Macaca fascicularis: one gene and its partners. The protein of the gene in region 1 interacts with the protein of each later gene in a pairwise test. Links are inferred from orthologs where the notes say so. Each region holds a gene or a part of one and is shown on either strand. Other genes may lie near its edges. The genes, in order: MAGEA4, UBXN6 and AMOT.

The links.
Region 2: the proteins of MAGEA4 (region 1) and UBXN6 interact in binary tests that used the Homo sapiens proteins (3 or more experiments, as listed by UniProt). The two-hybrid records come from large-scale screens. The link is inferred for Macaca fascicularis from reciprocal best matches to the Homo sapiens genes MAGEA4 and UBXN6.
Region 3: the proteins of MAGEA4 (region 1) and AMOT interact in binary tests that used the Homo sapiens proteins (3 or more experiments, as listed by UniProt). The two-hybrid records come from large-scale screens. The link is inferred for Macaca fascicularis from reciprocal best matches to the Homo sapiens genes MAGEA4 and AMOT.

What each region holds. Positions count from the first base shown.
Region 1 is NC_088395.1:157,988,491-157,998,121, reverse strand, and holds the start of MAGEA4 (melanoma-associated antigen 4), read right to left. Parts: upstream 5,702-9,631; 5' UTR 5,685-5,701; intron 5,081-5,684; exon of another isoform or gene 5,062-5,080; intron 797-5,061; 5' UTR 728-796; exon of another isoform or gene 724-727; intron 649-723; 5' UTR 584-648; coding exon 1-583. UniProt on the Homo sapiens protein: Regulates cell proliferation through the inhibition of cell cycle arrest at the G1 phase. Also negatively regulates p53-mediated apoptosis.
Region 2 is NC_088393.1:5,194,694-5,204,514, reverse strand, and holds the start of UBXN6 (UBX domain-containing protein 6), read left to right. Parts: upstream 1-5,057; 5' UTR 5,058-5,173; coding exon 5,174-5,256; intron 5,257-6,020; exon of another isoform or gene 6,021-6,106; intron 6,107-9,086; coding exon 9,087-9,250; intron 9,251-9,665; coding exon 9,666-9,730; intron 9,731-9,821. UniProt on the Homo sapiens protein: May negatively regulate the ATPase activity of VCP, an ATP-driven segregase that associates with different cofactors to control a wide variety of cellular processes.
Region 3 is NC_088395.1:119,347,859-119,357,618, reverse strand, and holds the start of AMOT (angiomotin), read left to right. Parts: upstream 1-4,576; 5' UTR 4,577-4,761; intron 4,762-5,221; exon of another isoform or gene 5,222-5,601; intron 5,602-9,760.

The DNA of each region.
Region 1 (9,631 bases):
GATTACCACCCAGCAGGCCATCGTAGGAGAGGCCCAGGCAGGTGACAAGGGTGTAGGTGTTGCTGGTGGGGTCCACTTCCTTCACGTCAATGCCAAAGATCATCTTCAGGGACTCAGAGGCTTTGCCGAAGATCACAGGAAAGCAGTGCTTGTAATTTTTGATGACTCTCTCCAGCATTTCTGCCTTTGTGACCAGCTCCTTGGCTCGATACTTGAGGAGCAGAAAATGAACCAACTCATCCACCTTCTTACTGAGTGCTTCTCGGAACAAGGACTCTGGGTCAGGAGAGGTGCTTGGCCCCTCCTCTTCTTGGCTGCTGGAACCCTCATTGGGTTGCCTCCAGCAAGTGAAGTTGACGGTAGAGGGTAAGGCGGAGGCTCCCTGAGGACTCTGGGGAGGACCTGTTGACCCAGCAGCAGGCACTTCCTCCAGGGTGCCAGGGACCAGAGGAGAGGAGGAGGAGGCAGCAGCCTCCTGCTCCTCAGTAGCAGGAGCCTGCGCACCCACTAGGCCCAGGGCCTCTTCTTGGGCCTCAACGCCTTCCTCAGGCTTGCAGTGCTGACTCTTCTGCTCAAGAGACATGATGACTCTGGTCAGGGCAGCAGGTGGGAGTGTAGGCAAAAGCTGGGCAGTGGGGACCCACAGGCCTGGGGAGAGAGGGAGCATGTGAGAGGCCTCAGCTGAGAACCGAATCTTGGAGGCTCTAACAAAGGCTTACTTACAGACCTTCTCCTTGGTGCTCCTCTGTGATCTCCAAGGAATCCTGTCCTCCGGGTTGGCCTATCTCCTGAGAACCTAAAGGAGGAAGTGAGAGAGCACCTCAGGGTATAGCCGGCCAGCAGAGGTCGATTCTGCAGGACTAACAGGAGGTGAGGTCAGACTCTCTGGAGTTCCACGTGTCCTATGCCAAGTGGGGCCCTTGGTGTGCATTCAGGGCAAACATTCACTGCTGGCACAGCCTGTGCACCCTCTGCTCTGTGACTTGAGGACACAAGTCTCAGACCAAGGCCTCATTGCCTTGTTCCTGGAGCTCCTAGGAGATGAATCCATGGGCCCTTAGGGTGCCGACTATAAGCACAGCCCCAGTCCCTCAGTGCTATCAAGAGGGCAGGCTGGACTCTGTGAGGTCCCCACTCTCATAGAGTGGATGGTCCACTCTGTGGTCACTCAGGGCCCTCACATTTCTCCAGGCAGGGCCTGGATTCCACCGTTTTGCTGGCCTGAGAAATTCAGATCAAGCACTCACATGCCTGAGAGGAAACAGGACATGAGGGGCCCCACATCTGGCCACATGTGCCTAGGTCCTCTGAAGAATGACAGCAAGAGATGTCAAAATTCATTGGAACCCATGTGTCCTGGGTGAGGAGCCTGCTTGGTCCTCACCTCAACTCCTGGCAGAGCCTGGGACCCTCCCTCTACTGACCTGGGTGCAGCCCCTCAGACCAAGGCCTCCCCCTCCGTGACATCAGTGATCCCAGGACAAGAGAGGGACCTCAGCAGACAGCCAAGCCCATGCTCTCTGGGGTGACAACAGGAGCAAGGCTGATTTCTGTGGAGTCGTCGTCTGCGTTCTGGCCCTGTGGTACCCTCAATCTTCCCTCACATTCCTCACCAGGACTCTTGGCAGATCCTGGGACCACTGTGTCTGTTGACCAGATAGAGGTCTGTGTTGACCTGAGTAACCCTCTGAGAACAAGGTCCTAACCTCACTGAGATCTGCAATCAGAAATGAGGAGCCACATCCTGTCACCCCTGTGCGGGGAGTCCACAGCTGACCCCTTTGGTCCTGGGGTGAGGGTTCTGATGGCCTCCTGTGGGTCACTCATGTTTGCTCCCAACGGGGCCTGCCCTTCCTCAACCCCCAACCCCCTGAGATGAGCAGATATTGCCCCTTTACTCCAAGACCTCATCTTCCTGAAGGTTCTCCAACTTCCTGCCTATGGTACAAGTAAGATTGGCACATAAGGCCATCCCTGCTCTGGTCCCCCCGAGCTAAGAACAGGGGACAGCCAGACTCTGCGGGGTCCCGTCTTTCTGAGCCACAGGTATCCTCAGACCATAGCCCTCTCCTCTCTGTGACCTCGAAGGTGCAGGAAGCATGAGCTACATGTGGCTACCTTGCTCAGGACCTCCCAGGGCCCAGGTGTCCACTGATCTGGAATGCAAGGACCCCTGAGTCCTCCCTCGTCTTCCTTTCCTTGATCCTGGAAGGGCTGGAACCCACCCCTCTGCTGACCTGAGTCACCATCCCTTGGATTCTCGAGGCTAAAAGAGGAGGCACCTCATTCTCAGACGGGGTGGGGTGGGCTCCCTGCCTTGGGATGCTGGGTCTCCTGAGTCCTTCCTCGTCTCCCAGGAGAGCCAGGGTCCTCCCTCTGCTACCCTGAGGCTCTGCTCATGATACCAAGTCCCTTCCCTCCTTCAGCCCTGGATGTGGATGTCAAGATCCGAGTGCCTGATCATTCCCAGGTCTTCCGTCGGTTGACTGCAGGAGAAAAAATGGATTCTGCAGAACGGAATTGGGGATGGGGTTGAGGATCTGGATGGTGGGGGGATGCTGGAATGTGAAAGGGGTGGGAATGTAGGTCCCTCAATTCCCTCTCAGGGTCCTGATTCTGATGCCAGGCAGAGCCTGGGCCCTGCCTTGGGCACACCAAGCTGTGACTCGAGTCCCCTGTGGCTTTAGTGGCAGTGGGAGCTGGGACGGCCTAGCCTGAGTCTTCCCCCGGGTGGTCCAGGGCTGGCAGCAGGGGCTGAGCTCGATTGTTTGGGGTCCTCTATCTGGAGTGGGGGCCTCCTCAGTCCTTCATCAGAGTCTCACCTTGCCTCGTCACAGAGCTTGGGCCTGCTCTCCTCAGTCAATCTCAATTATCCCCTCAGGACCATGCCCTCGATTCTCTCTGACCCCCAAAACGTCCCAGCACCAAGTCTGGGGTTTCCCTGGATTGATAGCAGAAGGGGAACTGGATTCTGCCTGGTGAGGTTGGAGGGCAAGGAATGGGAAATGGGGCAGCGAAGTGGTAGGGGATTTGTGGGAATGGGGGTTAGAGTGGGATCTTGGGGGACCTCAGTTCCCTCTCAGGTTTCTGACTTTGATTCCTGGCAGATCCTGGGCCATGCCCTCTCCTAACCAGCCCTGCCCTGATCACACCAACCTCTGACTCCAGAGTCTCCTGTGGCTTAAACAAACGGGTTGCAACAGGGGCGGTGGTGGGGAGCAGCCCAGCCTGAGAAGTCGGCCTCCTGGGTGGTCCAGGGCTGGCAGTAGGGATGGTGCTGGATTAATTGGGGCCCTCTATCTGGGGGGGGGCCCTTCTGAGACCTCCCTCAGCCTCTCACCTTGCCTCCTCAGAGCCTGGGCTCACTTCTCTCTGCTGATGTCAAGCTCCCCCTAAGGAGAACCTTGCTTCTCTCTAACTCCCAATGAGCAAGTCAGTGGCGTCACATTCGGGTACCAGGGACTTTCCTGGATTGACAGCAGGGGCTGAACTGTATTCTGCCAGGGTGGGGGTTCCGGTGGGAGGGGTGTGGGTGGAAAGGCAGAGCGGAAGGAGATCTGGGTTGAGGTATAGGAGTGGTGGATAGGGGTGGGAATGGCAATGAAGTGGGGGTGGGTCATGAGAGTGGGGATTGCAGTGGACTCTTGGAGGCCCTCAGCCCTCCCTGAGATTCCTGACCTTGATGCCTGGCAGAGCCCAGATAGTGCCCTCTCCTAAGCATCCCTTCCATGGTCACACCACGCTCTGACTCCAGAGTCTCCTGTGGGGACCGGGTGTGGGGACAGGTGGTGGTGGGGTGGGAAGCTGGAGGCGGCGGCCTAGCCTGAGAAGTCAGCCTCCGCGATGGTCCAGGGCTGGGACCTTCTATCAGGGATAAGGGTGTCCTGAATCCTCCCTCAGAGTCTGACTGCCTGCTCACAAAGCCTGGGCCCCCTTCTGTCTGACAATCTCAAGCCGTTCTTCAGAACCAGAACCTCGCTTCCCTCTAATCCCCAATGCACAAGTCAGTGGCATCACATCCGGCCACCCAGGGCTTGCCTGGATTGAAAGCAGGGGTGTAACCAGATTCTGCACGGATGGGGATGAAGGTGGGGGGCATGAGGCTGGTGGGGGGTGTTGGGGAGCATAGGGGCACAGGTGGGGGATGGGGGTACAGATGGGGTTGGGAGTGCGGATGGGAATGGGAACAGGGTAGGGGATAGGAATGGGGTGGGGGACGCTCCACCCTCTCCTAGGGTCCTGATGTTGAAGGTTAGCAAAGCCTGTCCCCACCAGTCTTGCACTGATTACACCAAGCTCTGACTGAACAGTCCCCTGCGGCTTAAGCGGCAGTGGAGTGGTGGGCCCCAGACTCAGATGTCCGCCCACGAGTGACCCAGGGCTGAAAGCAGGAGTGGTGCTAGATTATTTGGGGTCATCCATCTGCAGTGGGGAGGGTCTCCCGAGTCCTCCCTCAGCTTCTCACCTTGCCACCTCAGAGAGCCTGGGCCGGCTTCCCTCTGCCAAGCCCAAGCTGCCTGTCAGACCAAGAAGCTAGCTTCTCTCTAACCCCCAATGCGCAAGTCACTGGCATCACATCCGGGCACCTGGGGCTTCCCTGGGTTGAAAGTGGAACTGGAACCCGATTCAGCCTGGATGGGAGTAGAGGTTTTGGGGTGGGGATATGAGGGCAGTGATTCAGCCTGGATAGGGGTAGAGGTTTGGGGGTGGGGATATCAGGGTGGTGGGAGTTTGGGGAGGATAGGAGTACTGGTGGGGAATGGGGGTGTAGATGGGGTTGGGAGTGTGGATGAAAATGGGAACGGGGTGGGGGACCCTCAGCCCTCTCTTACAGTCCTGAGGTTGACGCCTGGCAGAGCCTGCCCTCACCAGTCTTGCACAGATCCCCCCAAGCTCTGACTCGAGAGTCGCCTGTGACTTCAGAGGCAGTGGAGTGGCGGGTGACCCAGACTCAGAAGTCTGCCCACGGGTGGCCCAGGGCTGGCAGCAGGAATGGTGCGGGATTATTTGGGGTCGTTTATCTGGGGTGGGGGCCTCCTAAGTCCTCCCTCAGCATCTCACCTTCACTCCTCAAAGGGCCTGGCCCGCTTCCCTCCGCCAATCCCAAGCTCCCTGTCAGACAGAGAAGCTCGCTTCTCTCTGACCCCCAACGCGCAAGTCATTGGCTCACATCCGGGCACCTGGGGCGTCCTGGGGTTGAAAGCGGAAGCAGAACCCGATTCAGCGTGGATGGCAGTGGGAGGGATGAGGATGGTGGAGGGGGCAGGCTTTTTGGGGTGGGAGACGGCGGTATGAGGATGGTGGTGGATTGGGGAGGATGGATGGGGTGCTGCAGAGGGATGGGAGTGTGGATGGGTTTGGGAGTGCGAATGGGAATGGGAAAGGGAACAGCGTGAGGGATGGGAAGGGGGTGGGGGATAGGAATAGGGGTGGGATAAGCTCAGCCCTCTCTTATGGTCCTGAGGTTGATGCCCGGCAGAGCCTGCCCTAACCAGTCTTGCACTGATCACCCCAAGCTGTGACTCCAGAGTCCCCAGCGACTTCAGAGGCAGTGGCGTGGTGGGTGCCCCACACTCAGAAGTCCACCCACGGGTGGTCCAGGGCTGGCAGCAGGAGTGGTCCAGGATTATTTGGGGTCGCCTATCTGGGGTGGGGGCCTCCTGAGTCCTCCCTCAGCATCTCACCTTGACTCCTCACAGGGCCTGGCCCGCTTCCCCCCACCAGTCCCAAGGTACCGGTCAGACAAAGAAGCTTCTCTCTAACCCCCAATGCGCAAGTCAGTGGCATCACATCCGGGCACCTGGGACTTCCTTGGGTTGAAAGTGGAAGCGTGGATGGGAGTGGGAGGGGTGACGTTGGTGGAGGGAGCGGGTATTTTTGTGTGGGAGATGGTGGTATGAGGGTGGTGGGGGGTTGGGGAGGATAGGGTTGCTGGTGGGGGATGGGGGATGGAGGGTTGTGAATGGGAATGGAAACGGGGGGGGATGGGAATGGAGGTGGGGGATGGGAATAGGGGTGCGGTAAGCTCAGCCTTCTCTCATGCTCCTGAGGTTGATGCCCGGCAGAGCCTGCCTTCACTAGTCTTGCACTGATCACCCCAAGCTCTGACTCGAGTCCCCTGAAACTTCAGAGGCAGTGGGGTGGTGGGTGCCCCAGACTCAGAAGTCCGCCCATGGGTGGCCCAGGGCTGGCAGCAGGAGTGGTCTGGGACTATTTGGGGTCGTCTATCTCGGATGGGGACTCCTGAGTCCTCCCTCAGCATCTCATCTTCACTCCTCACAGGACCTGGCCCCCTTCCCTTGCCAATCCCAAAGTGCCGGTCAGAGAAGCTCGCTTCTCTCTAACCCCCAGTGTGCAAGTCAGTGGCCTCACATCCGGGCACCTGGGGCTTTCCTGGGTTAAAAGCAGAAGCGGAACCCGAATCAGCATGGATGGGGGAGGGAGGGGTGACGGTGGAGGGGGTGGGAATTTTGGGGTGGGAGACGGTGGTATGAAGGTGGTGGGGTGTTGGGGAATATACCTGGGCTAGTGGGGGATGGGATTGTGGATGGTTTTTAGGAGTTCGAATGCGAACAGGGTGGGGGTGGGAATGGGGGTGGGGAAGGGGAATAGGGTTGGGGGACATTCAGCCCTCTCTTTTGGTTGTGAGGTTGGTGCCTGGCCAACCTTTCCCCCGCCCATCTTGCATTGATCACACCATACTCTGATTCCAGAGTGCCCTTCGACTTCAGAGGCAGTGAGGTGGTGGGTGCCCCAGACTCAGAAGTCTGCCCACAGGTGGCCCAGGGCTGGCAACAGGAGTGGTCCGGGATTATCTGGGGTCGTCTATCTGGGGTGGGGGCCTCCTGAGTCCTCCCTCAGCGTCACACCTTGACTCCTCACAGGGCCTGGCCCGCTTCCCTCTGCCAATCCCAAGGTGCCAGTCACACAGAGCAGCTCACTTCTCTCTAACCCCCAATGCAAAAGTCAGTGGCATCACGTCCAGGCACCTGGGGCTTCCTTGGGTTGGAAATGGAAGCGGAGCCTGATTCAACGTGGATGGGGGTGGGAGGGGTGACGTTGGTGGAGGGGGCGGGTATTTTTGGGTATAAGATGGCGGTATGAGTGTGCTGGGGGGTTGGGGAGGATAGGGGTTAGTGGGGGATAGGGGTGTGAATGGGTTTGGGAATGCGAATGGGAATGCGAACAGGGTGGAGGATGGGAATCAGGGAAGGGGAATAGGGTTGGGGTACGTTCAGCCCTCTCTTTTGGTCGTGAGGTTGATGCCTGGCCGACCCAGCCCCCACGAGTCTTGCACTGATCACTACATACTCTGACTCCAGAGTCCCCTGAGACTTCTGAGGCAGTGGGGGTGGTGGGTGCTCCAGACTCAGAAATCCGCCCATGGGTAACGAAGGGCTGGCAGCAGGAGTGGTGCGGGATTATTTGGGGTCATCTATCTGGAGTGGGGACTCCTGAGTCCTCCCTCAGCGTCTCACCTTCACTCCTCACAGGGCCTGGTCCGCTTCCCTCCGCCAAGCCCAAGGTGCCAGTCAGACAGAGAAGCTCGCTTCTCTCTAACCTCCAATGTGCAAATCAGTGGCATCACATCCGGGCACCTGGGACTTCCTTTGGTTGAAAGCGGAAGCGGAGCCCGAATCAGCGTGGATGGGGGTGGGAGGGGTTAGGTTTGTGGAGGGGTGGGGTATTTTTGTGTGGGAGATGGTGGTATGAGGGTGGTAGGGGGTTGGGGAGAATAGGATTGCTGGTGGGGGTGGGAGAGTGAAAGAGTTGTGAATGGGAATGGAAACGGGGTGGGGGATGGGAAAGGAGGTGGGGGATGGGAACAGGTGTGGGGTAAGCTCAGCCCCCTCTTATGGTCCTGAGGTTGATGCCGGGCAGAGCCTGCTCTCACCAGTCTTGCACTGGTCACCCCAAGCTCTGATTCCAGAGTCCCCTGCGACTTCAGAGGCAGTGGGGTGGTGGGTGCCCCAGACTCAGAAGTCCGCCCACGGGTGGCCCAGGCCTGGCAGCAGGGGTGGTCCGGGATTATTTGGGGTCGTCTACGTGGAGTAGGGGCCTGCTGAGTCCTCCCTCAGCGTCTCACCTTGACTCCTCCCAGGGCCTGTCCCGTTTCCCTCCGCCAACCCCAAGCTGCCGGTCACACAGAGAAGCTCGCTTCTCTCTTAACCGGCAGTGCGCAAGTCAGTGGCCTCACATCCGGGCACCTGGGACTTTCTTGGGTTGAAAGCGGAAGCGGAACCCGATTCAACGTGGATGGGGGAGGGAGAGGTGACGTTGTGGAGGGGGCGGGAACTTTTGTGTGGGAGATGGCGGTATGAAAGTGGTGGGGGGTTGGGGAATATACCGACGCTGGTGGGGGATGGGAGTGTGGATGGGTTTGGGAGTACGAATGGGAATGGAAACGGGCTGGGGGATGGGAATGCGGGTGGGGGATGGGAATGCGGGTGGGGGATGGGAATAGGAGTGGGGTACGCTCACTCCTCCCTTATGGTCCTGAGGTTGATGCCCGGCAGAGCCTGCCCTCACCAGTCTTGCACTGATCACCCCAAGCTCTGATTCCAGAGTCCCCTGTGACTTCAGAGGCAGTGGGGTGGTGGGTGCCCCAGACTCAGAAGTCCGCCCACGGGTGGCCCAGGCCTGGCAGCAGGGGTGGTCCGGGATTATTTGGGGTCGTCTATCTGGGGTGGGGACTCCCGAGTCCTCCCTCAGCGTCTCACCTTGACTCCTCACAGGGCCTGCTTCCCTCCGCCAATCCCAAGCTGCCGGTCACACAGAGAAGCTCGCTTGTCTCTAACCCACAGTGCGCAAGTCAGTGGCCTCACATCCGGGCACCTGGGGCTTTCTTGGGTTGAAAGCGGAAGCGGAACCTGATTCAACGTGGATGGGGGAGGGAGAGGTGACGTTGTGGAGGGGGCGGGAACTTTTGTGTGGGAGATGGCGGTATGAAAGTGGTGGGGGTTTAGGGAATATACCGGCGCTGGTGGGGGATGGGAGTGTGGATGGGTTTGGGAGTGCAAATGGGAATGGAAACGGGCTGGGGGATGGGAATGCGGGTGGGGGATGGGAATAGGAGTGGGGTACGCCCACCCCTCCCTTATGGTCCTGAGGTTGACGTCCGGCAGAGCCTGCCCTCACCAGTCTTGCACTGATCACTCCAAGCTCTGACTCCAGAGTCCCCTGCTACTTCAGAGGCAGTGGGGTGGTGGGTGCCCCAGACTCAGAAGTCCGCCCACGGGTGGCCCAGGCCTGGCAGCAGGGGTGGTCCGGGATTATTTGGGGTCGTCTACCTGGAGTAGGGGCCTGCTGAGTCCTCCCTCAGCGTCTCACCTTGACTCCTCCCAGGGCCTGTCCCGTTTCCCTCCGCCAATCCCAAGCTGCCGGTCACACAGAGCAGCTCACTTCTCTCTTAACCGGCAGTGCGCAAGTCAGTGGCCTCACATCCGGGCACCTGGGGCTTTCTTGGGTTGAAAGCGGAAGCGGAACCGGATTCAACGTGGATGGGGGAGGGAGGGGTGACGTTGGTGGAGGGGGCGGGAATTTTTGTGTGGGAGATGGCAGTATGAAGGTGGTGGGGGGTTGGGGAATATACCGGTGCTGGTGGGGGATGGGAGTGTGGATGGGTTTGGGA
Region 2 (9,821 bases), on another chromosome or scaffold:
CATAACTTCATCCGACATGAGGAAGATAGTCAAGGAGAGTGTCATGGTGGAAGATGATTGAGGTAAGACAGATGAAGAGAAGTCCCTTCTAGTAAAGGAGAATGCCTAGGCAAAGGGGCAGAGGTGAGCTGGAAATAATTCCAGGTAACTGAGGCAGAGGTGGAAACGTGGGCAATAACAAGAAAAGAGGTTTCTGAAACCCCCAGAATACTTAGAACCTGAAAAAGAAATTTATTAGGGCCTGTTAATGTTAGGACCTCCTTAGACCAGGCTGAGGGGCCCCATAGGATTTTATTCTTGGAGAAGTGGGGTGGGTCTCTGCCACTTTCTTTTTTTTTCTTTTGGTTTTTTTTTTGAGATAGAGTCTCGCTCTGTTGCCCAGGCTGGAGTGCAGTGGCAAGATCTCACTCACTGCAAGCTCTGCTTCCCAGGTTCACACCATTCTCCTGCGTCAGCCTCCCGAGTAGCTGGCACTATAGACACCCACCACTGCGCCCGGCTAATTTTTTTTGTATTTTTAGTAGAGACGGGGTTTCACTGTGTTAGCCAGGATGGTCTCAATCTCCTGATCTTGTGATCCGCCCGTCTCGGCCTCCCAAAGTGCTGGGATTACAGGTGTGAGCCACCGCACCTGGCCAGGTCTCTGCCACTTTCTAGCTGTGTGACTTTGGCCCAGTGTTGTACCTTTATTTCAGTTATAGGGTATACAATTCCTTATTCACAACAATGAGCTGTAATTTTCTTTTCTTTTCTTTTCTTTTCTGAGACGGAGTCTTACTCTGTCGCCCAGGCTGGAGTGCAGTGATGCAATCTTGGCTCACTGCAACCTCCACTTCCCTGATTCAAGCAATTCTCCTGCCTCAGCCTCCTGAGGAGCTGGGACTACAGGCACGTGCCACCATGCACAGCTAGTTTTTGTATTTTTAGTTGAGACAGGGTTTCACCATATTGGCCAGGATGGTCTCGATCTCTTTTTTTTTTTTTTTTTTTTTGAGACAGAGTCTTGCTCTGTCCCCCAGGCTGGAGTGCAGTGGCCGGATCTCAGCTCACTGCAAGCTCCACCTCCCGGGTTCACGCCATTCTCCTGCCTCAGCCTCCCGAGTAGCTGGGACTACAGGCGCCCGCCACCGCTCCCGGCTAATTTTTGTATTTTTTTAGTAGAGATGGGGTTTCACGTGTTAGCCAGGATGGTCTCGATCTCCTGAACTCGTGATCCGCCCGTCTCGGCCTCCCAAAGTGCTGGGATTACAGGCTTGAGCCACCGCGCCCGGCGGTCTCGATCTCTTGACCTCATGATCTGCCTGCCTTGGCCTCCCAAAGTCCTGGGATTACAGGTGTGAGCCACTGTGTCCACCCTTTTTTTTTTTTTTTTTTTTTAAGACATGATCTTGCTCTGTCACCCAGCCCCTTCCGAGGTGGCTGCTATATGTGGCTGTTGGCGGGAGGCCTCAGTTCCTCACCACGTGGGCCTCTCCGTGGAGCTGCTTGAGCTTCCTCCCATCATGGCGGATGGCTTTCCCCAGGTGAGTGAGCCCAGAGAAAGAGCAAAGAGGAAGCATCAGTGAATTTTATGTCCTAGTTTCAGAAGTCCCACATTGTTGCTTCTGCCTTATTCTATTGTTAAAAATGAGTCACAAAGTCTAGCTGACAATCAAAGAGAGAAGAAATAGACTTTGCCTTTCTTTTTTATCTTTTTTCTTCCTTTTTTATTTTTTATTTGTTAAGATAAGATCTCACTCTGTCACCCAGGCTGTAGTGCAGTGGCAGGATCACAGCTCCCTGCAACATTAACCTCCTAGGCTCAAGTGATCCTCCCACCACCCACTCCCTAGTAGCTGGGGCTGCAGGTGTGCACCACCACACTGGCGTAATATTTTGTATTTTTTGTAGAGAAGAGGTCTCACCGTGTTGCCGATTATGGCCTCAAACTCATTAGTTTGGCCAGGCATGGTCAATCACACCTGTAATCCCAGCACTTTGGGAGGCCAAGGCAGGCAGATCACTTGAGGTCAGGAGTTGGAGACCAGCCTGGCCAACATGGTGAAATCCTACCTCTACTAAAAATACAAAAATTAGCTGGGTGTGGTGGTGAACACCTGTAATCCCACCTACCTGGGGGGCTGAGGCAGGAGAATTGCTTGAAACTGGGAGGTGGAGGTTGTGGTGAGCCAAGATCGCAGGCACCACTGAACTCTAGCCTGGGAAACAGAGCAAGACTCCGTCTCAACAACAACAACAACAACAACAACAACTCATGAGTTTAAGCAATCTGCCTGCCTCAGCCTCCCAAAGTGCTGGGATTATAGGCATGAGTCACTGATTCCAGCCTGTCGTTTTCCATATAAAATATTAAGAAATGATGAAAAGAGTCTGGGCACAGTGGCTCATGCCTGTAATCCCAGCACTTTGGGAGGCTGAGGCAGGTGGGTCACTTGAGGTCAGGAATTTGAGACCAGCCTCGCCAAGATGGTGAAAACCCGTCTCTACTAAAAATACAAAAATCAGCTGGGCATGGTGGAGCATACCTGTAATCCCAGGTACTCAGGAGGCTGAGGCACGAAACTCGCTTGAACCTGGGAGGCGGAGGTTGCAGTGAGCCTACATCACACCACTGCACTCCACCCTGGGCGACAGAGTAAGACTCTGTCTCAAGGCCGGGCGCAGTGGCTCAAGCTTGTAATCCCAGCACTTTGGGAGGCCGAGACGGGTGGATCACGAGGTCAGGAGATCGAGACCATCCTGGCTAACACGGTGAAACCCCGTCTCTACTGAAAAATACAAAAAAAACTAGCCGGGCGAGGTGGCGGGCGCCTGTAGTCCCAGCTACTCGGGAGGCTGAGGCAGGAGAATGGCATGAACCCGGGAGGCGGAGCTTGCAGTGAGCTGAGATCCGGCCACTGCACAGAGCGAGACTCCGTCTCAAAAAAAAAAAAAAAAAGAATTAAAAAAAAAAAAAAGACTGTCTCAAAAAAAAAAAAAAAGCAACAACAAAGAAAAGAGTAGTACAATCAACTCAGTATGTTCTTTTTTTTTTTTTTTTTTGGAGTGCAATGGCGCAATCTCAACTCACTGCAACCTCCACCTCCTGAGTTCAAGCGATTCTCCTACCTCAGCCTCTCAAGTAGCTGGGATTACTGGCGCACACCACCACATCTGGCTACTTTTTGGATTTTTAGTAGAGATGGGGTTTTGTTATGTTGGCTGGGTCGGTCTTGAACTTCTGACCTCAAGTAATCCACCCGCCTTGGCCTCCCAAAGTGCTGGGATTATAGGTGTGAGCCACTGTGCCCAGCCCAATTTTTTTTCCTCTTTTAATAAGACAGGGTCTGGCTCTTTGCCCAGGCTGGAGTGTAGTGGTGTGATCATAGCTCACTGCAGCCTCAAACTCCTGGGCTAAAGCAATCCTCCTACCTTGGCCTCCCGAAATGTTGGGACTGCAGGCCTGAGTCACTTGTCCGACCCATGTTATTTCAATTTCAGTCTTAGAGTGGGCTGTTTCCTTACCTGGAGGCCTCGCCTCCCTCAGTCTCTGTGAATCTCATTCCAACTCCTTTTTTGTTTTGTTTTGTTTTGTTTTTGTTTTTGTTTTTGTTTTTGTTTTTGTTTTGAGACGGAGTCTCGCTCTGCCGCCCAGGCTGGAGTGCAGTGGCCGCATCTCAGCTCACTGCAAGCTCCGCCTCCCGGGTTCACGCCATTCTCCTGCCTCAGCCTCCCGAGTAGCTGGGATTACAGGCGCCCGCCACCTCGCCCGGCTAGTTTTTTGTATTTTTTAGTAGAGACGGGGTTTCACCGTATCAGCCAGGATGGTCTCGATCTCCTGACCTTGTGATCCGCCCGTCTCGGCCTCCCAAAGTGCTGGGATTACAGGCTTGAGCCACCGCGCCCGGCCTGTTTTTGTTTTTTTGAGGCACAGTCTCCCTCTGTTGCCCAGGCTGAAGTGCAGTGGTGAGATCTCCGCTCACTGCAACCACCACCTCCCGGGTTCAAGCGATTCTCCTGCCTCAGCCTCCCAAGTAGCTGGGATTACCGGCGCCGGTAGAGACAGGGTTTCACAATGTTGGCCAGGCTGGTCTCAAACTCCTGACCTCAAATGATCCGCCGGCCTCGGCCTCCCAAAGTGCTGGCATTATAGGCATGAGCCACCACGTCTGACCCCCAACTCCCTTCTTTGGAGGCTTGTTTTAACTGTCACTTTGTGTATCTTCTTTGCGAATCGCACAGCCCAAAGTACGCCACTATTAACTGGTTTCTCTGTCTTGTTCACCAAAGTGGATCCCCAGGTCCCAATCGGATGCATCCTCTTAAACAGCTTCTACCTAGGGTAAGTGGTGGTGGTGGTGGTGGTGGTGTTGGTGGGGTGGGGTGGGGGGCTTCAGGGACCAAAACAGGGCCAGAAGGTGGGGGCCTCCAATACCCCACATTAAATTGGGACTTTATCACGTAAGCTCTGGGGAGACAGGGAAGGTTGGATTTTTGTTTGTTTTGCTTGAGACAGGGTCTCTCTCTGTTGCCCAGGCTGGAATGCGGTGGCTTGATCACAGCTCACTGCAGTCTCGACCTCCTGGGTTCAAGTGGTCCTCCCGCCTCCGCCTGCCAAGTAGCTCAGAGGTGCGCGCCACCACCCTCGGCTATTATTTTATTTTACTTTTTTTTTTTTTTTTTTTAAATAGAGACGAGGTTTTGCCATGTTGCCCAGACTGGTCTCCAACTTCTGGAATCAAGCAATCCTCCCGCTTGAGCCTCCGAAAGTGCTGTGATTGCAGGCGTGAGCCACCGTGCCCAGCTTAGGTTGAGCAGCGAAAGGGACAGGGCCCAGTGCTTTCTCTGCGAGGTTCAGTCGTCCTGTCACCGTCTGTCACCGTTTGGGGAGCGCCACGGAAGCTGCCAGGCAAGGCACTGACTCTAATCGAGAGGCGCACTCGTCGCCCTGGCAACGGAGTCCCGAAGAACCACAGAGATGCGGCTCCAGCGTACAGAGCGGCCGCCTGGGCCAGCGAGGCACCGAGCGCTAGAGAGGCACTTCTAGCCTATTGTCACGTGGTCGGCCTCGGGAAGGCGGGACTTCCGGCGGCGCGGTATTTTTTTTCCGGTGGCTGGTCCCGGGCGGCCCCTCCCCGACTGGGCCCTGTGCCCCCCGCCCCCGCGGCCCCTCGCCGCCGGGCCAGCCGCCACCATGAAGAAATTCTTTCAGGAGTTCAAGGCCGACATCAAGTTCAAGAGCGCGGGACCCGGTCAGAAGCTCACAGAGTCCGTGGGGTGCGTGAGGAACGCAGGGGCGGCCGGGGAGAGGGGTCTGGGGCCTCGGGCGGCTCGGGAGATCGGAGAGGGCGAGGGGCTGGGGAGCGGCAGCCGAGAGTCAGGGGAGGGGGAGAGGCTCCGGGGGCGGGGCAAGCGGGGCCGAGGATGGGCGTCAGGGGGAGGGGAGAGAGATCTGGGGTCAGGGCAGGAGGGGGCGGGTGTGAGCCGGGGGCGGGGCAAGGGAGGCGGGGGGAGGGGAACATGCGCAGGGGGCGGGGCAAGGGGGCCGGGTGGGAGGGGATGTCTCGGGGGCGGGGCCGCAGGAGGGTCCGAGGCAGTGGCGGGGGATTAGGGCGGCGGGGCTGCAGGAAGTTGGGGGTCAGTGGAGCGACCCTGGGGGAAAAAAGGGATGATCAGTTCTGAGACGGGTGATAAGGGAGAGGTCTGGGGACCCGGCTGGTCCTTAAGTGGCCGGGATGATTTGGGGGAATCTAGGTGACCATGGATGAGAGCTGAGCTTGGAGGAAGACGCACAACTGTGGGGTGGGGTGGTGGAGAGTTGTTCTGAGGCATCCATGGGAAGAGGGGTTCTGGACTTGGGATCTGGAGCACGTGGGAGGCTGATGGGAGACCAGGAAGAGTCTGGAAGGCCAAGGAGGCCGGGGTGGGTAGCGTCTTCAGTCACCTGGGAGGGGCTGAGGAAGGTGTGTGAGGAGACTGGAGGTGAGGGACTCTGACAGATGGACTGTGACACGGGAGGGGCCTGAGAGGAGAAGACCGGCGAGATTGACGCGTCTGAGCAGGTTGGGAGAAAGGCCTTCTCTGCGAGGCTTCTCTGCCAGGTCACTGTGCCAAGTGGATTATGGAGGTGAGAGGGGAGGGGAAAGGAGATAAGTGCCGGGCAGGCTTCCGGATCGTCTAGGGAGGACTTGGAGAGAAGGGCCTGAGCAGGGCTGAGCCAGCTGGGAGGGCAGGTGGAGGGCCGGGAAAGAAGTGGCGCTGGAGAGGGTGCGAGGCTGAGGGCTGCTGGGCTGAGAAAAGGGAAGCTGGAAGAGCTGGGGCTGCTGCAGGGAGCTGGCTGGCCAGGGGGTGGTGGAGACTGATGGAGAGTGACTGAGGAAGGAGGTCAGCCAGGCAGCCAGGGTAGGGGTCTGTAAGCAATAATGGAAGGGATTGTGAAGGGGTGGGGGCTGGGAGGGGGTAGGAGGAGAGGCAGGGAGGTGGCAGGAAGTGGGGGTCAGGGAATCACGGGTTGGTGGGGTGGTGATGGAGGTAGGGGCATAGCGAGGAATTCAGGGTTCCTAGGGGAGAGCAGGAGAGCAAAGGCTGAGTGAGAGAGGGAGGGGGGTCAGGGAGAGAAGTGGACAAATGGGGGGAGCCCTTCATTGATTCAACCAGTAGTGGATGGGGTTAGGACTGGGCGTGACAGGAAGGATGCAGGGCATCAGGGTGATGGCTGGGTCAGCCCAGAGCCTGGCGGAGAGGGGAAGGTCAGAGGGGAGACTCGGGAAGGGAAGGGGTGCGGAGGTCCTCTCTGGAGCGAGACTGGATATCCAGGGTGTGTGGGGCGTGTGGGCACCAAGTCCTGTTTTAGGCTGCAGTGGTGGACAGGAGAAGGCCTCTGCTGTCCCAGGGCTCACCTTCTAGAGGGAGCTGATGGACAAATAAACCAACAGACCTCAGAGGAGGGCTCAGGCGGTACCCAGGGCCTTGAAGGAGGGTGAGCAGACGCCATCAGGTGGTTTGGGAAGGCCTCTCCCAGGACACAGTGAGACTCAGCCGTGGGGAAATCAGCCCCCTCCTTCTCTCCCTGTGGCAGCTCTAGCCCTTTCCAGATCCCCTGTCCTCCTCCCTCCCCGCAGGAGAACACTGTGGGCATAAGGCGCAGACAGTGCAGGGCCTTGCGGCGGGGAGCAGCTGGGGTATGGGAAGAACCGCGGGGAGCCCAGGGGAGCCAGGCCAGGGGAGGGCAGTGGGCCAGGCCGGGAAGGGCTCTCCGGCCGAGGGAGGCTTTAGGATTTCGTGGTGGGGGGGCGTCGTGCAGTGGAGTGATGCTGACGCTCCCTGGCTGAGGTTGCAGAAGGGTCCCTGTGGCTGCCCAGGGCGGGCAGGGTCCATGACCGGTTGGGGTGAGGTGCCCTGGGAAATGCCATTTTGTTGGAAAGACCTAGATATCGGATGGGGCTGGGATGGGTCTTCATGAGTCATCTCCTCTTCCACCCAAGATGCTGCGCTGTGGGAGGACTAGATAGGCAGGGGTGGGCACGAAGCTAAGCCTCGAGACGAGGAGGGAGGGCTGCCCGAGTATCTAAGCAGAGCCAGAGGAGTACAGGGCTTGAACTGAGAGCCTGGCCTCCAGGAAGTTTTAATAGACTTACGACATGGAAAGTGACACAGTCCCTGAATTCACGGGAGGGGCCCGAGAGGAGACAGGCGAGACAGACGCATCCGAGCAGGTTGGCAGAAAGGGCTTCTCTGCCAGGCCACTGTGCCAAGTGGATTATGGAACCCTCCTTGGTGTAGGGCTCAGCAGGGCGGAACCGCGAGTCCATGAGCTCTTGGTACTTGCACAGCCCCGGGCCTGGCATGGAGTGGCCAGGGCGAGGCTGGTTCTGCTGTCCGCTGACCCCAGGGTCCTGCCACAAGGGTGGTGTGGCATGGGGCACATTGCCCGGACTTCCTGACCCTCTTGGGTTTGGGAACGGGATGGTGAGGCCTCCCTGGCAGCTTGTTAGGAGGAGTCAACCAACCAAGCCGACCGGCTCCCAGCAGGGGGCCCAGCACACAGTAGGTGCTCAGCAAACGAAGCTGTGACCTGAGGGTGGAGACTCTCACAGCAGGGAGTGGGGGAGGATGTGGCATCCCTTGAGTCTCCTCAATTCCTGAGGATGTGGGCTGGGTGCTGTGGCTCATGCCTGTAGTCCCAGCAGTTTGGGAGGCCCTGGTGGGAGGATCATTTGAGGCCAAGAGTTCGAGACCAACCTGAGCTACACAGCGAGACCCTGTCTCGATAGAAAAATTAGTCATGCGTGGCCGGGCGCGGTGGCTCAAGCCTGTAATCCCAGCACTTTGGGAGGCCGAGACGGGCGTATCACAAGGTCAGGAGATCGAGACCAGCCTGGCTAAATACGGTGAAACCCCGTCTCTACTAAAAAATACAAAAAACTAGCCGGGTGAGGTGGTGGGCGCCTGTAGTCCCAGCTACTCGGGAGGCTGAGGCAGGAGAATGGCGTAGACCCGGGAGGCGGAGCTTGCAGTGAGCTGAGATGCGGCCACTGCACTCCAGCCTGGGCGACAGAGCGAGACTCCGTCTCAAAAAAAAAAAAAAGAAAAATTAGCCATGCGTGATGATGCTTGCCTCCAAGTCCCAGCTACTCGGGAGGCTGAGGCGGGAGGATTCCTTGAGCCTGGGAACTCAGGGTTGCAGTGAGCCGTGATCGTGCCATTGTACTCCAGCATGGGTGACAGAGCAAGACCCTGTCTCAAAAAGAAAAAAAAAAAGGCCCTGAGGATATCAAGGTGCCTTCGCCTCGGGAGGGGTGCTGCCACCCCATTTTACAAACGAGGATGCTGAGGCCCAGTGGGGCAGGACTTGCCCTGTGGTGCAGAACTGAGCGGAACCAGCATCTCCTTCCTCCAGGGGCTCTTCCGCTTGCAGAAGAACCATCTGGTGGCTGCGGGTGGCCCCTGGGAAGCAGGCGTCCTGGCCCGCATAGGCAGGGACACGTCTGACTGGTGGTGCTGGTGGCAGGAGCTGGGGAGCAGCAGAAGCTCCCCTGTGTGACCGCACGTCAGGTTTGCCGGCCACCTCAGGAGGATACACTCGCTCTCCCTCGGTCTGTCCCCAGGGAAAAGGCCCCCAAACAGAAGTCCAGCCAGCCGGCCCCGAGGCCGCCCCGCCAGGGACCCACCAATGAGGCACAGATGGCGGCCGCTGCCGCCCTGGCCCGGCTGGAGCAGAAGCAGTCCCGGGCCTGGGGCCCCACGTCGCAGGACAGCATCCGAAACCAGGGTGAGATGTGGCCCGCCCCGGGCCCAGGTCGGGGCTGTTTGAGGTTCCCAGCCTTAGTGCCTGGCCCTGGACGCAGAAGTCCAGGGCCTGGAAGCAGCTGTGGGGGTGTGAGGGTCACCCTTGGGAGCGACTCACCAAGGGCAGGTGCTGGGGGAAGGGCAGCTTCCTGGGGAGCGGGTGGGAGCAGAGACTTGGAGCAGAAACAGGGACTGCGCAGGCAGTGGGGTGCTGGCTCAGGCTGAGGGGTGGGTGCAGAGCGAGTCCCGCAGGGGACCTCCAGCCTGACCTCCAGCAGCAGCAGGCTGGGGTGTTGTGCATGGCTCACGGGCCCACCCCAGGAATGAGGGGGCTCGGGCCAGGACAGAGGCGAGCTCACCACCCTGGCTCTGCTTCTCCTTCTTGGGCTGCCTTCCAGTGAGAAAGGAACTGCAAGCCGAAGCCACCGTCAGCGGGAGCCCCGAGGCCCCAGGGACCAACGTGGTAAGAACAGCCACTGGTGGCACTGTCCCACGCTGAGGGGTGGGGACAGCTTGACTTCATCGTGGGGGAGATGTGGCCACTGCCCTTGGGG
Region 3 (9,760 bases), about 39 Mb from region 1:
TAGACCATAAGGTATACATTCCTTCCCATTTTTCCTGTACATTGGACAAAAATATTGCACACAAAGGGAAGACTTTTTAATTAAGACATTTATTAGTTAGCAACATGAAAAACTGGAGATTGTATATTAAAAACATTTGACTTCTGGTTTCTCTTGAAAACTCAGAAGTTGGTCACATTGGACTGCCCTTCCCTGTAGTGGCAATCAGGCTGCCCCTTTCACATGGGTTCTGCCTTCTTGCAACCCCTATCATTGGCGTTGTCTCCTGACACTAAGCCTAAGGGTTATTACCTGTGTGTGTGTGTGCATGTGTATGTGTGCGTGTGTGTGTATGGTAAGAGATACATAACAAAATTTACCATTTTAACAATTTTTAAGTGTACAATTCAGTGGCTTTAAGTACATTCAAAATATTACACAACTATCACAATTATCTAGTTCCAAACCTTTTCATCATCCCAAACAGAAATTGTACTATTAAACACTAACTTCCCACTCCCTCTTTCTCCAGTCCCTGATCACCACTACTCTACTTTCTATCTCTATGAATTTACCCATTCCAGATCCCTCGTGTAAGTGGAATCATACAATATTTGTCCTTTTGTATCTGGCTTATTTCATTTTGTGTAATGTTTTCAAGGTAGACATTTGATTTTTTTCAATGGACTTTATTTTGTACAGCACAGATGTTGATTTTTATTGTGCAATAAAGGCATATTTTAAGAAAAAAAATAAAGGTCGGCCGGGTGCGGTGGCTCACGCCTGTAATCCCAGCACTTTGGGAGGCCGAGGTGGGCAGATCATGAGGTCAGGAGATTGAGACCATCCTGGCTAACACGGTGAAACTCCTTCTCTACTAAACAAAATACAAAAAATTAGCCGGGCGTGGTGGTGGGCGCCTGTAGTCCCAGCTACTCAGGAGGCTGAGGCAGGAGAATAGTGTGAACCCGGGAGGCGGAGCTTGCAGTGAGAGGAGATCACGCCACTGCACTTCAGCCTGGGCAACAGAGCAAGACTCTGTCCCCCAAAAATAAAAAATAAATAAAAAATAAAAGTCAAACAAGACAGGTAGTTTGGGATGAGGAATCTTGACTTCTGAGCTTAAAATGATCCTCCTTTTTTCCATATCGTTATATGGAGGTTTTTAATGTATAGTATCTAGGCAACTCAGTGTCTTTACACAGGTGTTTTACAGCTAGTGGTTAATTTTCCTGGTCTTCCCCAGAGGGCTTTCTATACTTTATAGTCAGGATATGAAGACACAGGGATGCTGTGGGGATTAGTCAAATGTGTGTGGCACAGTTTGTTGTAAAAACGAACTCTCTGGAACTAGTTTTCACTCTCTGCTCTTAACTTCCACAGCTTTTACTGTCAATACCATTCATTTGGCACTTAGCACATGCTTGTTAGTTGTCTTTTTATATCCTTGAAGGCAGGAGCTAAGTCTCATGCCTGTTTTTTCAGTCTTGTCTATAATAACAGCTCAATCAATGTTTGTTGATGTTGGCCTCCCCCTCCCCCTCTCTTTTAAGTAGCGCAGGCAATGCATAGCTTTAAATCCAAACTCAACTCGGTTTAAACAAACTGAAAGGTTTTCAGGGTGAAAACAAAGAAGTCTTGCGTGGCAGGATAGAAGGCTTGGAAGACCTGGGTTAAACAGAAGTGCCAAAAAACTGTTTGCCACAGGTTAAGAAGTGACTTGCACACAGCGTGACTCACCATTAAGTTCAGAGTTCTGCTAACTCTACTCCATCAAAATTTGGAGAAGAGTAATAACCAAGCAGGGTTTGATGAGTGGATGTTAAAGGAATTAAGTGTTTTAGAGGTTTCCATTGCTCCAGTCCATTGCTCTACAGCACCAGTCACTGTGGGGAAAGGAAAGCATGTTAGAAAAGTGTTTTGAAGGTAACTTCAAGACTAGGGGCAGGCATACTACAAATGTAGCCACCAGGCCTTTGTTACCAGGATTTTTTTTTAAATAGCATCTTCCATAGTAGCAAAATATGGGAAATAGCCCAAATTTGCCTCCATTTCTTTTTTAGAGATAGAGTCTTGCTATGTTGCCCAGGCTGACCTTGAACTCCTGGCCTCAAAGGATTCCCCTCCCTCAACCTCCCTAGTAGTTTGAACTATAGGCATGTGCCACCACCGTGTCTGGCTCCCAAATCCCCATTTAATAAGGGGATGAGTCATGAGTAAAGGAATTTTGGCACAGCTATGCAATAGAATACTAAGTTATAATAAAATAAATAAGGTAAACATAGTTATCCTGAGATGGAAGAATATTTCAAATACATTATTGAGTATAGAAATGCAAGGTGTGCCATGATTAATGATTCCACTTGTAAGGAACAAAAAGGGAATATGCACTCACGCTTGAATATGCAAATAATCTATTTGTAAGATGACATACAGTCATAAAGAGAATGGGACTATGGGAGCAGAGTGGTGGAGAAGAACTTTTTCATTGTAGTCTTTCAGTACTTTTTTGTTTGGTGTTTTTGTTTTGTTTTGTTTTGTTTTTTTGAGACGAGTCTCGCTCTCTGACCCAGGCTGCAGTGCAGTGGCGCGATCTCAGCTCACGGCAACTTCCGCCTCCCAGGTTGAAGTAATTATCCTGTCTCAGCCTCCCAAGTAGCTGGGACTACAGGCGCGTGCCACCACCTGCGGCTAATTTTTGTATTTTTAGTAGAGACGGGGTTTCACCATATTGTTCAGGCTGGTCTCCAACGCCTGACCTCAAGTGATCCACTCGCCTCAGCCTCCCAAAGTGCTGGGATTACAGGCATGAGCCACCGTGCCCAGACCAGTACTGTTTTATCTGAATTTTTCCATGTGCATGTTTAACTTTTTTCACTTGTACAGCATTGATTTTAACAAATATCCTGTTGCCACTGTGATAGGTAGGGTAGTAGTCCTGCAGCATATACCTGGCCCCCCATCTAGCTCTCCTGTCTACTCCAAATAACAAGGCTGAAATAATCTTTCCTTGCTTCACAAACCAGGTGTCTCCATATCTTGAACATTCAAAAACTCCCTTTCTCCATGAAAAATTACCCAAATAACCTCACTTCATACATAAACAGAACCATAACGATAATCATTTTGTGCACACTCCTGCTTCTGAATCTTTCCACAGCTCCTGCACACTCCATGACATGCAATCGTCCACTACTTTTCCTGAAGTCAGAGTTGGATTCTGAGCCCCTATTTACTGTGTGATAGTGTTTCCTTTAAGCACACTTCCTCTTGCATGCCTTGATCCACGGCCCCCCAGATGGCTCCCATTAGGCAGGCTTGAATTGGATGTCACTCTTTCATTGGCATGAGTCATTATAATAGCCTTGCGCTGTCAAGGCCTTTACATTTAGGCTTGTTTCCTACTTGAAATGTTTTCTAGGAAATATGGATCTGTAGAGAATGGTGGTTTCCATGGTAAATGTTCCTTCATATTTGTTTTCTCAAGTTCACTTCGGAGATACACAGCATGATTTCCTCTTTCAGTACCAGAACCACAATAGCTTTAAGTTGTCATGAAACTGTTGAACGTTAAAAAAGAAATCTCACCCACCCTGCTTAGAAAAGGGGTAATTTATTATTCTAACTGCAGGGAGTCAACTTCATATCCACCCCAAAATTGTAGGAAAAGAGTTGACTTTTTAAAATAAAGCCACAAAACCTACACGACCTTGGATGTAAATGCTTAAAACAGATGAGCAGAATATTGGTCCCCTAACACATCTAAGACTCTCCATTATGTGTCATACACAAGTAGGAACACATACATATGTGGAGTGCTTTATAGTTTTCACACACATTTTCACACCAGTGTCTTTAAGTTAATAGGGCATGTCTCATAGCATTTATTTACAGGTAGAAAAATTAAGGCTGAGAAGTTAAGCCACTTAACAGAAGTCACACAATTAGCTAGCAAGTGCCAGGGCCCCAAATGAATTCTTCCTTTGGTTCCAAATTCCGTGTTATTTTGCTACGCGGACACTGTTTCTTTGTGCCTTCGTTTTCCCAGATGTAAAATGGTAGATTTTCCGTGTCCCAGGATGCTGTTCTCAGCCCTCTCTTGTTTTTAACCAATGTCAGTTTTTTTCGCAGCCAGCAGAACACCACAACGACACTTCATGTACTTTCCCCCCTCCTGATTTAATGAATTAAGGGGGAAGAAAAGTTACCTATTCGCAGAGAGCTGGACACTACCATAAACATAAAGGCGTACCAGAGTCGACCGACACACTGTTGCATTCTTTTATGAGACTGAGAAATAAAGCGTCTCATCTTTCTCTTCCCAGCAGTAGCTGGGGTAGAACACAGAACTACACAATAGCCTCTTGTTTAGTTTTATTAATTTTGAGGACGGGTGGGACAAAGGGATCAGACTGGCGACTCCAGGGCCCAATCGCAAGCGTATACTAGGCCAGGCCGGGCCAACGGGTAGCTGCAAAAGAATGGTGGGCGGGACTTACGCTTCAGGGGCCCACTCCGCCCAGGCCGGCGCTTCCAGCCCGCCCAGGGGCGGAGCCTCTGCAGAGCCCCGCCCACGACCCCTCCTCCCTCGCCCCTCAGCTTCTGCGGCCCGCCAACGGGAGCCGGGCAAGCGCCCGGGGTGGGGGAGCGGAGGAAGAAAGGAGGGTGTCTCGCAGAGCTGTGACCTCGGTGGGAGCCTGCTGGTAATAGGAAGCAAGAGGGGAAGGAAAACGAAGGAGCACTGCACTTTCCTGCATTATTTTAAGCAGTCTTTGGTGGAAGGTGCTTTTCAGCATTTCTATTATTTGTTTTTCTTCCTCCAGCAGTGGGGCGGGGAGCTGCACTGCCTCTCCCACGCGACTATGCCGCGCAGTTGCCGCAGATTATTATTGTAGTCTTTTGCAAAACCCTTTCCTTCTTCCCAGCCAGTCACGGCGCAGACTCTCACGGCTACGGCAACCGAGTCGTGCCCCTCTAGTGGGAAGGCGAGAGCGAGGGTCCCCTGCTTTCGCCGGAGCTCCCGGACCCCGCGGTTCAATTGTTTGAAACTTCCCCGCCCCCCGGCCCCGCCTCTCTTCCGCGCTCCCCCCACTCCTCACTTCCAGGGTCCAGGCAGGCTCCCGCCCTTCTTTCCCCGCCCTCTACTCCGCCTTCCTCCCTAGTCCACCCCCCCCGCCCTGCTCCGGGGCGGTCCTAGCCGCTCACCGCAAGAAGAAAAGCCACCCGTGCGTCCCCCTCCCCTACCTCCCATCCTTTGCCCAGGAGCTGCCTTGGCAGTCACGCCCCTTCCTTCCGAGGAGCTTTCTGGCTGCCTAAACTGGTAGACCCTCTGAATTACTCCTCCGTCTCCTCTCTCTTTCGCCTCCTCTTCTCTTAGTTCTCTCCGCCTCCCCCCCAACTACCACCACCTCCAGTCAGTCTCGCCTCCGACCATCCGCTGCTCCACCCTCTGGCCCGGTATCCTGCCTGTCCACTGCCACCAAGGAGAGCCCGGACGGAGCAGCGAGGAGGGGAGCAGCCGGGAGTTGGGGCTTCCCCCCTGCCCATCCCTGGCCGCTGGCCCGGGACCGAAGCCACTTGAGCGAGCAGAGAGTCGTCACCTTGTCTTCGTTGCCTTCAGGGGTAGGAGACGCGTGGTTACTTTTCGCGGGGAACTGGGGCAGGAATCCATGGTGGCATGAACTTGGTCGTGCCCTCGGCGTGAGTGAATCGATCTAGGCGCGTGTGGGAACGTCCGTGTGTTCTACTTTCTTTGCAGCTCGCCATTAGTTTTTTTGGATGTGCAGCAAGTTAAATCGGTTAGAGTGTGCGCTGCTTTCCCGTCCTACTTAGGTGAGGAGATGCTAGTGGGTACCACTACTAGTTGGTACTTTTACTTCCTTACCTCCTGGGGTTCTTGTGGGTCTCTAGGTAATTAATCACATGGAGGAGCTAAAGACCCGAGGGAAGCTGAAATCTACATTTAGCCCAGCATGCATGTCAGTGCTTATCTCAGATAACTAGATAGGTTTCTCCTAAGTGCTTAGGCTTGGGGTGGGGACTCACACTCCCTGAGGCGGGAGCAGGAGGGGTAGGACCGTGAATTCTTGAAGTTTTAAAGTCTGTGTAATCTAAAACACAAGGCTACTCTTTGAGATGTGTGGTGGTGTTTGTGGTGCCTGTGGTGGTGATAGTAATGGTGAGGAGAGAGTTGCCCCTATCTGCTTAGAAGATCCAAAGATGTTAGTAAATAGTTTTGGGGGATCAGGCAGGTGTCTTGAGGGTCCAAGCCTGGGCCACTGCACGTTGGTGCTTCGACAGTAAGATGGGCTTCATGGGTATGTGAAAATGAAGAGAAAGAAAAGTGGGAGGGAAAATAACAGTCTTCAATAGACTGTGAGCAGTTCCTGGTAAATTGCCACTAATAATAATATAATAATTTGCATAAAGGGACTAAATAGAATTAAATGAGCAAGGAAAGAGAAAGTTGGTGAGAAACAGCATTTTCAATCTCTAGTGTATGTTTTAGAACGAATTTTTCAACAACCTGGGATGTTTAGTTCAGTTATCCTCCCTCCCCGCCATGAAGAGTGGAAGTTGGGAGGCAGTTTAAAACTTTTATGAATATAACCCTCTTCTCCCATTGAGAGAGGAAGATAATTAGTCACCATAATCTTCAATGATGAAGGGCTAAGGGTATTTAAGTCTCCTTGAGCTACGCTTTGTGAAAAGTTCTTTCTCAGGCCAGCCTTTGTGAAGCCTTCTCAGTTAGACCTTTCAGCACCCTCATTTAGTAGCTAAGAATAGTTTGAAATGCCATTTTGAATGTGGTATACATTTTCATCCATCTCCCACCTATCTTCAATTGGACAAGTGCGTCAAGGTTGTAAGTGATGGTGTTCAAAGACTTATTACTGAGATGTCCTTAACCTATTGCTTATTTGGGAACACATTATTTACATACATTTAAAACTAACTTTGGTTGATTTTAATGAGGGAAAGGAAAGTAGGAAGGTAAAGAAGGAACGTTACAGGGTGACAATTTTAAAGGCTATCCTGTTTCAGATCAGCTGGGAGGGAAAAGCTGGCCTGACCAAACTACATTTTATAACTAGCCTGGGACATTTTAACAGCCAGGTGGTTGTAGAGTAGTTGCCTCTATTTACAGATGATAACTCAGGTTCCAACTATTCTGTATGGGTTTATCCGGCGTCATTGACAGACACTTTCTGGCACTACATCATACTTCATTTTAAATTACTTCTTTCCTTGGAAAAGTTTGTGACTTTGTAAAATTGAAAGTGCTTTTTCTACCTTCATGGTCTAGATGTGAAGTAAGCCTCTGACCACGATTGGATGTGGAGTCACTTTTACATGAAATTTGCAGATCTGTTTACCTATTTAAAAGATTTTAGAAAGGGAATTTTAATAATTCATAGTCGATGCAGTTTTGGATTTGGAAATTAAAATCTCATTTCTGGTTTATGAATTTGGATTTATTAGACTAATTCCCAACTAGGACATTTGTAGAGTTGCTTTTTCTTTCTGAGGTTTTGTAAAGACCGCATCAGACTCTAGAATGCTTTAAGAATAGCCTAATCAGAAGGCAGGGGGATGGATACTATGACCTTGAGGTCCCATTGAGTGCCAGAATTCTAAGTGGGTACATCTGCTTCTGTGCCTCTCCCAAGAGCCCTCTCCCAGGGCCTGCGCCTTCTTTAAAAGGGTGTCTTTGTAATTAAGCGGCCCTTCTTCCCCATCCCCCTTTCTTCTTTTGATCCAGCTTTTTAAGGCCTTTTTTTCCATTTGGAGACAAGAGGGGTTTCTCACACTTTCCTGTTCCCCTCTTAACGCTTCTTTTCCTTTACCCCAGAAAAGTCGCCTGAAGTTCTCAGGATGGTTAGAAGTTGTTTTGTTTTGTTTGGGGCATGGGGGTGGAGTGGGGGAGTTGTTACCAATGAGGAGAAATAGAGGATATATTCCCTCTTGGGAAATGCTTGCGACCAGGTAGCCTCCTCCATGGAGACTGAGCATTTGGAATGCATGAGAACAGTCTATTCTTGGGGACTGTCTGGTAGAAATTGTCCTTTGCACCCATTAAGCCCAGCTTAAACACACTGAAAGGGGTAGGGAGAGGTGTGTGTGGTCGTAGTGGAGCCTTTTAGGATGGTAAATGGGTAAATGTTTCCAAATCTCCTATTACATCATCTCTTTCTCCCATGGATTCAGTAGGTTTAGTGATCTGCTTGACAAGTTAATTAGCTGGGGACTAAACCAATTTGTTTAGAATTGTGATCCATTGATTTCCTGTCCCCAGGAATTTTTGTTGGTGTTTTACTATGATGTGTTGTCTTTAGTCTTACTTACTTTTCCCTCCTTGCCGCCTTTTGTGGACTTTGGTCCAAAATCTAGGGTTCCACCCCCAAGTCAAAGGTTAGAATTTTGTCCCAGGAACTAAGGGGGTATTAAACAGGCTAGCCATACTACATTACTCTCCTCCATGGTGGGCTTCTGACCCCTTTTAACCCAGAGAAAGGAGGGAAGTCGCCCCTTCCACACACAACACACACAATCTGAACAAAAAAAAAAAAAAAAAAAGAAAAAGAAAAAGAAGTCATTTGCTTTATAAAAGAATCCACAACAGGTTTCTTTGTAAGTACTAGCTTTCCTAGTTAGTGCCTTTAAACTATGACTTGATATATAAAAATTCACTCTAACTGGGCCTTCTCGGAAGTATATTTATTGCATAAAGGAATACATAAGAATTTGTAATGATTATCACTTAAATTAAGTGAGGCCATTATTTGGCCTTTGAAATCTTTTTGTTATATGGAATGGAGTTAGTTAATTGTCTAAATCATCCTGGCTTGTAATAATGCTGGCCACGTTAGCTCCGGCCTACAACTGCTTGCAGAAGAAAGCTAGTATTACTTTTTGAAAATAAATCAGACTTTATAGATTTTGAACAATTCTAAGGATGAGACTATCCACCCCATATAGGTAAAATATTTTATTTCCAGTTACTGTGTTTTACTAACCCAGGGATCTAGAAAGTTATTTCTAGTAAATAATGGCTCCTGATGCCACTTTTAACCTAAGAATCTGCAATAAGATTTCCTAGTGAGCCTACTGGTGAGAAGGACCTGGGCTCTAGGCCCAACCGTAACTCGGTTTACTACCTCTGTTAAGTTTTTTTTTTTTTCCACTGTAAATTGTGGATTTGGACAGGGTGATTTTGAGAGCCAGTTCTCATAAGTTTATGGTTTTCTTTCTAAGCCTCAATATCGAGTATGAATGTGAATGATTGCTACTAGAATGAAGTGCAACCGTTGTTAGAAATTCAATCATCTAGTCATCATGTTAAAAAAAAAAAAAGATCCTGTAAGGATATATGAATATAGATGCATCATGTTTTATATTTTAACAACCCAACATTAAGAAGCTAAGACTCGCCGGGCGCGGTGGCTCAAGCCTGTAATCCCAGCACTTTGGGAGGCCGAGACGGGTGGATCACGAGGTCAGGAGATCGAGACTATCCTGGCTAACACGGTGAAACCCCGTCTCTACTAAAAAATACAAAAAACTAGCCGGGCGAGGTGGCGGGCGCCTGTAGTCCCAGCTACTCGGGAGGCTGAGGCAGGAGAATGGCGTGAACCCGGGAGGCGGAGCTTGCAGTGAGCTGAGATCCGGCCACTGCACTCCAGCCTGGGCGACAGAGCGAGACTCCGTCTCAAAAAAAAAAAAAAAAAAAAAGAAGCTAAGACTCTATCCAAAACTTCAAGAATTCCATCATCCTAACAGA